Linked DNA regions of Diceros bicornis minor. The protein of the gene in region 1 interacts with the protein of each later gene in a pairwise test. Links are inferred from orthologs where the notes say so. Each region holds a gene or a part of one and is shown in the gene's direction. Other genes may lie near its edges. The genes, in order: RNF11, RNF168 and rab5 GDP/GTP exchange factor.

The links.
Region 2: the proteins of RNF11 (region 1) and RNF168 interact in binary tests that used the Homo sapiens proteins (3 or more experiments, as listed by UniProt). The link is inferred for Diceros bicornis minor from reciprocal best matches to the Homo sapiens genes RNF11 and RNF168.
Region 3: the proteins of RNF11 (region 1) and rab5 GDP/GTP exchange factor interact in binary tests that used the Homo sapiens proteins (3 or more experiments, as listed by UniProt). The link is inferred for Diceros bicornis minor from reciprocal best matches to the Homo sapiens genes RNF11 and RABGEF1.

What each region holds. Positions count from the first base shown.
Region 1 is NC_080752.1:13,659,305-13,663,051, forward strand, and holds the start of RNF11 (RING finger protein 11), read left to right. Parts: upstream 1-1,286; 5' UTR 1,287-1,711; coding exon 1,712-1,834; intron 1,835-3,747. UniProt on the Homo sapiens protein: Essential component of a ubiquitin-editing protein complex, comprising also TNFAIP3, ITCH and TAX1BP1, that ensures the transient nature of inflammatory signaling pathways. Promotes the association of TNFAIP3 to RIPK1 after TNF stimulation.
Region 2 is NC_080754.1:27,476,415-27,480,161, reverse strand, and holds the start of RNF168 (E3 ubiquitin-protein ligase RNF168), read left to right. Parts: upstream 1-1,227; 5' UTR 1,228-1,814; coding exon 1,815-2,115; intron 2,116-3,747. UniProt on the Homo sapiens protein: E3 ubiquitin-protein ligase required for accumulation of repair proteins to sites of DNA damage. Acts with UBE2N/UBC13 to amplify the RNF8-dependent histone ubiquitination.
Region 3 is NC_080765.1:19,584,851-19,588,597, reverse strand, and holds the start of rab5 GDP/GTP exchange factor, read left to right. Parts: upstream 1-1,068; 5' UTR 1,069-1,145; coding exon 1,146-1,289; intron 1,290-3,747. UniProt on the Homo sapiens protein: Rab effector protein acting as linker between gamma-adaptin, RAB4A or RAB5A. Involved in endocytic membrane fusion and membrane trafficking of recycling endosomes. Stimulates nucleotide exchange on RAB5A. Can act as a ubiquitin ligase.

The sequences.
Region 1 (3,747 bases):
AAAATCAGTAAACGGTGAAAAAAAGAAATGGAGTCAAGACCAACTTCTTGTCTTCTTGTTGAATGAATCACTCTTAGGAGCATTCCCATCCTTCTTGTTTCCTTCCTTTGCACACATTGCTTCTTGAGCTGTTTGTTCATTCAACCCAGAAGAGAGCCTACTCTACCTTAGGCAATGTGCCAGGCTTTGCACAAAAAGAGGGACAGATGATTCAGCTTGATCAGGCTGTGGCAGAGAAAAGCTCAAGGACTGAGAGCACAGAGGAGGTGACTAACCCAGACTGGAGGGTTAGAAGAGCCTTCCCAGGGGAAATGAAGCTGAGTCCAGGAACGACAAGTGGGAATAACAGTTAGCCTGATGGGAAGTAGAAGGCTGCGAGTGGGGAGAAGTGAGTTTCTGTCAGAGAAACAACATGGGTAAAGGCTTCAGCCAGAGGGAACAGTTTTCTAGATAACCGAAAGTACTTTATTTAGACAGCCTAGAGTTTAGAATAGGTGACGAGGCAATGCTGGTAATGAGATTGGGGAGGTAGTCAGATTTGAAAAGCATTTAAGAATACTTATAACAGTATCGGGAAGCCATTAAGGTTTTAAACAGGGGAGTGACATGATCAGATTTACATTTTAAAAAGATAATTCAACTGTGCAAATAGTGGATTGGATGGGGGCAATGGCGAATGCAGGGAGAATAGCTGAGAGTGTTGCAGTAGTGTGGGCAAGAGATAATGGTGGCTTGGACTATGGTGGTGGGAATGGAAAGAAACAGAACAATCCCAGATATACAACTGGAGGAAGAATCTCTCTGGTTGTGACGGACGAGGATAAGGAAGTGACTGGAGACAGAGGGGAAGGTTCATTAGTGAGCTTGGACTTTATTCCGAAGGGATAAAGGGGAAGCCAATTAACATTTTAACCTAGGGAGCGACAGAATCAGATATGGGTTTATAAATAGATCACCCGGCAGAAGGCAGTGAGAAGCCCGTCAGAACAGTGCACAGGTAAGAGCTGAGGTGAGTGGAGAAGAAGAGTATATGGGAGGCGCGAGAGACCGAGAGAGGTTTCGGAGTCAGGTACCCAGTCAACTGTCAAAGAAAGAAAGAAACTGACGCAGCCCAGGAACAGCTGGGAGAGGGTGGGGGTAGGGGGGTGCGGCCGCGCGGCCGGAGCTGCCCACGCCTCCCGGCGCCGGGGGCGGGACCAGAGCACGCAAGGCGGCATGACGCAGGGCCGCAGCTGGCCTCGTTCTGGGCGCCGCCGCCGCTTTGAGGCGGAGTAGGATGAGGCCCGCGGCCGTGGCTCCGGCGTCGGCAGGGGCAGCAGCAGCTGAGGCAGCAGCTGAGGCAGCCGCGACGGCCGCGCCCCCCCCTCCTGACCTGGATTAGGCCCAGCAGCTCCGTGGCCGCCGCCGCCCCGCGGGGGGGCGGGGTGGGGAAGTGCTTCGTCTCCCCGCCCCCCCCGCCCCCCATCGCCGCCTCACGGGAGGCAACCGCCGCGACCCCGGCGGAGCCGGTGGCCCAGCCTTGAGCCCCCACCCCCGGGGACTGGCATGAGCGGCCCTTCGGCGGCGCCGGGGGGCGGGGGAGCCGCCGCCGCCGCCTGAGCCCCGGCCTGCCGCCCGACCCCACCTCGCTGACCGCGGCTTACCGCGAAGCGTGCGACGACCCCGCCACTGCTTTCTTACTCCCCCAGATCACACACCCCAGCTCCGGAAGATGGGGAACTGCCTCAAATCCCCCACTTCGGATGACATCTCCCTGCTTCACGAGTCTCAGTCCGACCGGGCTAGTTTTGGCGAGGGGACGGAGCCGGATCAGGAGCCGCCGCCGCCATATCAGGTAGGGGAGGGTGTGTATTTGGGGAGGAGGGGGTGCGAGGAGCAGAAACAGCTCCAGCCCAGATTGAGGGGGCTTCGGGGCTGTCACTGCCCCTGGCCTCGGCAAGGCCTGGCCTGGGGGGCGTTGACCCCCTTAGGCCTGGATCCAGGAGTGATTGCTCCCTACTCCCAGAATAGAGGGGATCCTTCACCTCTCCCTCGAGCATGGTGTGGGGATGGTACCCTCTGTCCTTGAGTTCTGGGATCCGAGTATGTGATCATAGCCCCTTGGCCAGTGACTGGTGGTTAGCTTGTGGAGTTTGGGAGTGACATTTTCCTGCCTTTATGCCTGAATCGTGGAATCTAAGCTGTGAGGTTTGGGGATGGTTTTCTTATCGCACCGGCAGCTGGATTGTGAGTTCTGGATAGGTGGTTGCCCCCCGCCCCTTTAAATTTTCATGTGTGATCGTCGTGTCCTGTCTCCCTCCTCCCCTCCTCCCTTGTCCGTTTGTGTCAGTTGGATCCGGTAGATGTTCATTTCTCCTTCTACTTGGGAGAAGACCTTTAAGTGGTCTTCAAGTGATTTTAGTCCCAGCGACATCGAGAGTTACTTGTTTACTTAAATGTATATATTAATTTTTAATCCCTCCTCCTTTTGCCCCACCCCTATGACACACCTTTTAATCACGCTGACTTAATAAAACTTGATTATCTTGAACTTTGGAAACCTTTAAACCTAACTTGAGAAATACCTTCTGTTACTCGTTTGTCTCCGTATGTAGCAGACTTCCTCCTAAATAGTTTCATTGCTTTTTGTTCAACAATCAGCAGCCCCAGATGTGTTTACACAATTAATAAAGAGCTAAGACCTCTTGAGAAACCTCAAAATAGATACGTAGATGTTATAATCCGTAATATATATAAAACCTTTTCCTCTGCTTTTTCGATTTTAAATGATGTTGATTAAAAACTTTTTCCAGAAGGGCTCGGGTAGTTAAGTGGCTTAATGTTTTTCCTGAAGGAGGTTTAGTTTTCTAACTAGGCAGTTTCCTTTGTTGTTTCATGTGGTGACATCATTATCTAGTGTTATTCTTTTCTCATTCTTGTGTAAACCAGTGTCTCATCACACCAGAAAAACCTGATCACTTTTGCTGGTTTTCTGGATAAAACCCTTCAGGGGTTTCATATATACCAATGAAGTCCAGTCTTAACTGTGTCATACAGAAGCCTCCGTGACTTCTCTCACGTTCGGTATTCCAGGCCTACCAAATACACCAGCCTGTTCACACCCCTCTGCCTTTGCTCCAGTTGCTCCCTCTGCTTGGAGCCCTTCCCCCAAGGTCAGCCAGGTGAACATCTAATCTTCTTTGAGGACTCAGCTCTCTTGTGTCACCTGCTACCTGAAGTTCCTGTATTTCCCTCTCTCCCCCCTGAATCCATGCACTTCCTTGTTTGTGTCCCCCCCCCCCGAACCCTCCCTCTACGCTTCCATGAGCAGCACATATAACACTTGAGTGTTTATCCTTGTTTAGTTAGATGTATGTCTCATCCTTGGGCATTTCCCTCCTCCCTCAGTGTAAGCTGCATGCAGGTGGAGACCCTGTGTCTCCTGTTTGCTCTTGTATCCCCAGCATCTGGCTCACAGTAAATACTCAGTAACTCCGGGATAAGTGAAGACTATAAGCCCTTGAGAACAGGGTCTCTGTCCCCAGTGCTTCCAGCAATTTGTGGAATATAAGAAGCACTTAAATGTTGAATGAATTAGTGAATTTGAATTCCATCTTATGTTTCGTAAGTTTACACACCCATTTCTTACAAAGAATTGTCACAGGGGAAGTCTTAAAAAATCCAAGCTAAATCTGGATGTCTTTCCACATCTTTGAAGCAATTGAATTGTATTTCACTCTTCGTTTCCCTCATAACGTGCTTATTTCA
Region 2 (3,747 bases), on another chromosome or scaffold:
TGACATAGTAACTCCTTCCTGGAACAGAGCTTCTATCTGATGGCTGTAATATAATGTAAAATAGATGTTACAATAGAAAAGGCATCAACAAGCCCATCTTATGTCTCTCTGGCCACATTCTCTGGATGGCCCTCCAAGGAGTTGCCAGAAAAACATTTACATTTATAAGGGAAATCTCCATTTGTAAAGGTATCTCCCTCTCTGTATTGGGAAGAGGGGGGATGGCCTCATTTCTAGAGGCTTATCAATGTGGAAGGTGAGGCCTTAAATCTGCATAATAACCTTACTCTTGTTTACTGTGCTTTAGTGGTAATCTCCTGTAATTGACTCCCCCCCACCCCCAACATCCTCCTTTGTCATTGGCTGAACATGGTATTTAAGAATTTCTGCTATTGTGTGGAGAAAGGCAGTGTCCCTGCTTTCTCCCATGTATACATGTTATTAAACTTGGTATTATTTTCTCCTGCTAACCTGTCTTGTTAATTATTTGGCCAGCCATAAGAAACCTTAAGGGAAAGGGCAGAGGGGGATTCTCCCTCTTCCCCCACATTGTTAAACTATTTTCTTTTTGACTTCCTTTGTAATTTTGATTGTTCTAGATTGAAATATAATAGTAAAGTAGTACATTACAAATGAGGCACATAACTGCTGAGCCCCAGGATGGAAGCAGCCCTGCACTTTGTTTCCCAACTCCTTAGGAAGAAAGGCAACCCAATACAATCTATCTCTGGGCCGGAGACTTAGAAAGGGGCTGGGCTCTACAAGCAAGCGTAAGTGCCTGTTAAAGGGCAGGAAGTTCGCAGAGTCTCTGACCACACCCTTTCTCGGAGACCAACCTTGGAGCTGCTTTTCCAAGAACTCTGGAAAGCGACCTAAGAGGCTTAGTTATAAATTAACAAAAACAGAAAGGTAGTTTGAGCAGTACTGAGGGACGCATTTCAAAAAACCACTGTACGGTTTTTCAATTTGTTTTGAGGTTTCACGTTTCTCTCCAGACACAATCTCGCAACACTCCGCGGTTTCCACAGCCTCTGGGAGCCGACGGCGCAGGGGAGGATTGTACTCCGCCCAAACTGAAGCACTAGGAGCTGCGACGCGCCGGCAGGGCCCTCTTCCGGACCGGAAGTCCCACCCACCAAACGTTAAACCTTGAGCGGTTCCCTGGGTAGGAGGGGCTGTTTTGGCGGGCAGTTGTGACGTCACTAGACGTCGTCGGGTTGCTACGGCACCACCGCAGCGATTACGCTTTTCGGCTGATCGAGGTGGGGAGGGGCGCAGGGCGCCGGAAAAGTGGAACGCGGGGGCTCCCGGGCTTTGCCTACTGCAACGGGGAAAAGGAAGTGCTGCTCCAGCGGAGCCCGGCGTCCGGGCGGAGGCAGCGTTGTTGCCGGAGCGGCGGCCTGGGGCTTGGCTGCCGGGAGCTAAGGGAGCATCCTCACCTGGTAAGAGGGAGGAGGAGAACTTGGCGCGTTACCCGCGGAGAGCCGGAACCCACCGTCCGCTCTGCCGCAACCGTTATGTAAATACCTCGGAGCGGCCAGCGTCTCCAGACAGAAACGTTCATTTATTTTCTTACCCGACTTTGCCTTAAATGTGGACAAATACACCGCCTTCCAGGGAGTACTGTTTACCTGGGCCGCAGAGCTCCTTTTGCCTCAAGACGAGTTTGCGCCCAATCTGTGAATTCTGACGCGCTGCTGGGCATAATATTGAAACACAGAACTGTTAATTTGCTTTCTGCGTAGTTGGTCCGGAACTACGCTTCTTTGTCTTTTCGGGCGTTCATGTTGAATCTGCCTTATTAGCATCTTAATATGGCTGTACCCAAAGACGCCATCCCTTCCTTGTCGGAATGCCAGTGCCCGATTTGTGTGGAAATCCTGATTGAGCCCGTAACACTCCCTTGTAACCACACGCTCTGTAATCCATGCTTCCAATCGACTGTCGAAAAGGCAAGTTTATGCTGTCCCTTCTGTCGCCGCCGGGTCTCTTCGTGGACCCGGTACCATACCCGAAGAAAGTCTCTTGTCAATATGGAGCTGTGGGAGATAATTCAAAAGCACTATCCAAAGGAATGTAAGCGGAGAGCCTCTGGGCAAGAATCAGAGGAAATAGGTGAGTAAACCAGCCTGATTATTGGCTAAAAAAAAATCCATTAAAAAGTGAATACCCACTTCTCTATTTTAAAAAATGGTAAAGAAAGCACGACTAGTGTTTGTCTAGATTCTTCACGGGGGGTTGGGTTTTATGGGCCCCAAAATGTTGGTTAAGGTCAATGGCGAGATTTGTTCATTGTCATATTGCGCAGCCTGTGTTCAGTTGATGTTTGTTGGGTTAAAAGTGGAAGGAGAAAAAGATAAGAATGGCCCCTGTAGAGCCTTTAATCATGTGAAAAGTTATATAAGTATTCAAAGATGAGCAGTAATCCTAGTACAGCAACAGCAAAAGTAAGGAAACTACTGGATTCCTGTGTTAATATTTCTTGTATTTTCATTTCCTTTCTCTAACTTGCTTATATAGCTCCGTTCATTTAATTCTTCTCTTAAGCATGCAATCAGCCTAAAACAGCTTTCTATTGCCAGTTCTATCTAGTTCAGTCATTTTTATTCAGAGCTCTCCAGTGTGGACTCAATAGCTATTTAGTATGCCCCAAACTGAACACTTGGCTCCAGCAGCTTGATCACTTGTGTGATCAATAAACCGTGCAGTGTTCCTTATCTATGCTTTGAATGTGTTGCCTGTGCTCTGGTATACTTGCCTTTTTTTTTTTTTTTGAAATTATTTTTAGTGTGGAAAAATATATAACAAAATTTGCCATTTTTATTTTTACATATTTTTTTTAACTTCAAGCATAACTTTATTTTCCATAAGTACACTGATTTTAATGCAGGAATGTAAACATCCCTGGATCTGAAGATTCAGTATCTATATGGGGCTTAAAAATGATTTCCTTCTTTGATGGTAGGTGCCTCATTGCACAGATCAGTGGTCAGCTTCTGTTTGTAACCTGTCTATAAAGTTCTGATTTCAGACCAGGAGAGTTACAGGATAATCATATTTTTAACAGTAGTTATCTTTTATTAAAACTCCTTTATTGAGATATTCACATACAATTGATCCATTAAAAGTGTACAATGCGGTAGTTTTGATATTTTACATTTTTTTCAAAATTGTGGTAAAATATATATAACATATGAAATTTGCAGTTTTTACAATTTGGGGCATTAATTACGTTCACGATGTTGTGCAACCATCACCATTATCTGTTTCCAAAACTTTTTCATTACCCCAGACAAATTCTTTAACAATTAATCATTGACTCCCCATTCTTCTCCTCCCCCGACCCCTGGAATTTCTAATCTACTTTCTGTCTCTATGAATTTGCTTGTTCTAGATATTTCATATAAGTTTATTCATACAACATGTGATCTTTTGTGTCTGGTTTCTTTCACTTAGCATAATATTTCTAAGTTTCACGCACGTTGTAGCATGTATCAGTACTTCATTCCTTTCAAGAGCTGAATAATATTCTATTTTATGGATATATTTTGTTACACCTTCATCCATTGATGGACGTTTGGGTTGTTTTCACCTTTTGGCTGTTTGAATAGTGCTGATATGAACATTCACGTACAAGTAGTTGTCAGTACATTCTCAGTTCTTTTGTGTATATAGCTAGGTGTGGAATTGCTGAATCATATCGTGGTTCTGCTTAGCTTTTGAGGAACTGCCGAACTTTTCCACGGG
Region 3 (3,747 bases), on another chromosome or scaffold:
CAGAGGAAGTGTTGTGCCTCTAGCTCATTGCTGACCTCCCTGAAACTGTTCTAATCCTCTAGGCCTCAATTTCCTTTTCTGTCACAACAGTGTGAGTATCAAATGAGGAATGGGTATAAAAATGGTTTAAAGAGCTAAAACCTTGATCCCTAGGAGAGGCCCTGCACTGACCCAGCCCCTAGCCAGCTACACAGCAACCAAGGCTGCAGACAGATGCGTTGGATCGTGCTGGACTCCGCCTCGCCAGCCTGGGAGCTTCTTTGGATGGGGCCTGTCTCCATTTGTGTGTCCAGGTACCCAGCGGAGGAACTGGCACGGACAGGGCGGAGAGTCACTGTCATTCTTAATTGAACTCAATTACCCCTATTTTGAGTTTTCGTTTTCGGATTCCTACTTGAGTCAATCGGGAAGGGCTGGAAACCCAGTCCTGGTGGGTTTTTGGCTTAAGGAGGGTCAGCACTCCTCTCTTACGACCTCCGTGACCTCAGCCATCCTCCGCCACATCCTCAGGCGTCTTCCCGCCACCTCCATTGAGGTGACCTTCCCCCCACCCCCGCGATTTCCCTGGCCCTCCACGCCCAAGGAGGCACAAGACCCGTTGCCCTGGAGACATACGAACGACTAAGTCGCGAGCCTTCCCTCCTCTCAAGTCACTAGGTGTCGACCCCGATGCTGGAGCCACCCTCACAGCCAACCAGGAGGCCAGCTTAGAGGCGGCGGCCGCGCACCCCCGCCCTGCGCGCCGGACGAGTGTTCGCGGGTGGAGAGGGCGCGCCGCTGGCCAGAGAGCCAATCAGAGCAGGGCAGGCAAGCAGGCCCGGCACCCAGTGGCCACTCAGGTGCAGGCTGAACGCGCCGCCTGCTCTAGGACTGGGCGAGCTTCCTGCCAATCAGGGGCGGGGCAAGCGGGGGCTCGGCCAATAGCGGGAGGCGGCCGGGTCAGGTCGGTGGCCCTGGGGTCCGCGCGGTGGTCCGCGTGCCAGTCGGCTAAGGGAGCGACCGCCCCCCGCCCTGCGCGCACTCGCTCTCGGCCCCGCCGGGCCCGCCTGTCGGCCGCGCCGCGTCATGCCAGGCGCTGCTCGGCGCTAGTGCCCGGGCCGCCGCCCGCCTGCCCGAAGCCGCGCCCACTGCCCAGAGCCAGAGGGATGGTGGTAGTCACGGGGCGGGAGCCAGACAGCCGTCGCCCGGACGGTGCCATGTCCAGCTCCGACGCCGAAGACGACTTTCTGGAGCCCGCCACCCCGACGGCCACGCAGGCGGGGCACGCGCTGCCCCTGCTGCCCCAGGAGGTACCTAGAAGGGTGGGGGGAGTGGGAAGGGGCGCAGGGGGAGACGCAGGTGCGGGGCACAGCTGACCTTGGGATGTGAGCAGCGCTGGGGTTGGGCATCCGGGATCGGGCTGAGGGCGGCGCCGGAGCAGCTGTGCTCCCCTGCCCACCCACCCACTCCCATCCCTCCGTAAAACCCACCAGGTGTGTCTCCCCTGCCCCAGGGACACCTGGCCCCCCACCCTCCTCTTTCCAGTACTCACTGCTTGCAAGGCTGATTTATTCCAATCCCTGTGTTCCACCCTTACCAACCAGAGGAGGGAGGGTAGGCCGTGGGAAGGGGACCTTGGAGCCTCAAGAGGTGATAGTGTCTTCTAGAAAATCCAAGAGGAGGCCTTGGTGGTTGCCCAAACCCAACCTTCAACTGCTCAGAGAGTGGAGTAAGGGGCTGTGCGCAGATAAGAAGCAGGCCAGTTAATGGATGTGTCCACACTCATCTGACAACTCTATGGCTTTCTCTCACTAGCTGCTGTCCTGTGATGCCCGGTAGCTTCTACTGGTCTTAATGTGTATGACACTACCATAGTAACACCTGAAATGACCCTCAAGAGAAGGGAAAAGAGGAGGGAAGGTGGGGCACTGCTGGGCACTAAAGATGGAAACTGGGAGGAAGGGACTAAGGTAGTGCCGGATATGCATGTGTGTGTGGAGTCCTAGGAGAGTGGACAGAGCCCAGAGGAGCAGCGCTGGGCTGGAGGAGGCTCTTGGGAAGCAGATAGTGTCCTCTTGTGCTTGGAAGCCCATACCCCCCACATCATGGGACGCTTGAGAAAATGAGCAAAACTCTAGAAGTGCTCTTTGCAGCTGGAAAAAGATTGCTATCAGAGACACAGCGGTGCATTTTTCCTCTCTGCCTCGGTCTTTTCACCTCTAGTATGGAGCAGACACTTGCGCTGGTATGAGATATCCTTGGAAAATGTTTAAAGAGCTCCAGAAATGTAAAGTATTATTATCCCCAAATAATATTTGAGTCCTTGGTATGCACACAGAATAGTTTCAGAGGAGCTATAGAATAAGCAGAAGGCATTCCTGTTCTTTGGGTGCAGACGAGTAACGGTACATACATGCACAGAATTGGAAACACCTGTCTATTTCATTCATTCGTTCAGTGCATATTTAGGTCTTTTTTTTTTAAAGACTTTATTTATTTATTTATTTTCCCCCCCAAAGCCCCAGTAGATAGTTGTATGTCATAACTGCACATCCTTCTAGTTGCTGTATGTGGGACGCTGCCTGAGCATGGCTGGAGAAGCGGTGCGTCGGTGCGCACCCGGGATCTGAACCCCGGGCCGCCAGCAGCGGAGCGCACGCACTTAACTGCTAAGCCACGGGCCGGCCCCATATTTGGGTCTTTACTGTGAGCCAGGCACTGTACTAGACCCTGGGTAACTTTGATTTAATCTATTTGTATCCTACCTTATTTCACAAAGGATTTGAAAGTTGGGGCAAAGGACTGTCTAGATAAATATACATAGACTTTTCACTGGAGCCAGAGAGATGTCGTAATATTGAAAAGTATGCACTGGGATAAAATTTTAGTTAATCTGGAGGAAGTTTGTGGGAAAATCAGAACTGGCTTTGTTTCTTTCAAAACTACAAGCAGTGAAAGATAGTAAAAAAAAAAAATGGTCCTGAGCATTTTAGGGAGAACCTAGAGCTTCTTGGGGCAAATGTATACCATCAGTCCCTGTCTTGCGCCCTGCCCTTGCCTCCAGAACCCTAGCTGGACTGGGAACTAATCTTCTCACTCTACAGATTAGGAAGGAGAGAAGTGGTAAGGCACAGAAAATGAGGAGTGATGCCTGGAATTATTCAATAAACATCTACGAGCCTTGCTCTGGGTGGCCTCTTGATTGATGAACAGGATGCTGTCCCTGCCTCAGGAAGCTTGGGGTCTAGTAGGGTGGGCCAACAGAAGAAAATAATTGCCAATGTATTCTGCTAGACACTATCAGAGAGTGTGGCACACAGTGAAGGTCCAATGGAGGGAGTGTTTAGTTAACTCTGTCTTGGGGACAGGCGAGAGACAATAGAGCAGAAATGCTCTCTGAGTAGAGAACCTGGAATGGAAGCTTTTAGAATGCATGGATGCTGCTAACCTATGTGGTGCCTTGGTGTGCGTTAGAAAAAGGGCACACGGCTGGACTAGCAGATCACTCTGATCCAGGTGCCCTTGTGCAGTGAACAACATGCACCACCAAATGGGGCAATCGAATTTGCTAGGTGGACAGAGGGAGCGTGGTAAGAGCATTTTGGAAAGAGAAGATAGTGTGAGCAAGGACACCAAAATGGTAAATTCAGGAAGTGGAAGGAGGACAATGAAGGCTTTGAACTCTAGAGCAGAGATAGTAGGATTGGGGTGGAGAGACCTGATTTAAGAGCCGTCAGAGGGAAGATGGAAGGACTTGGCAATTGATGA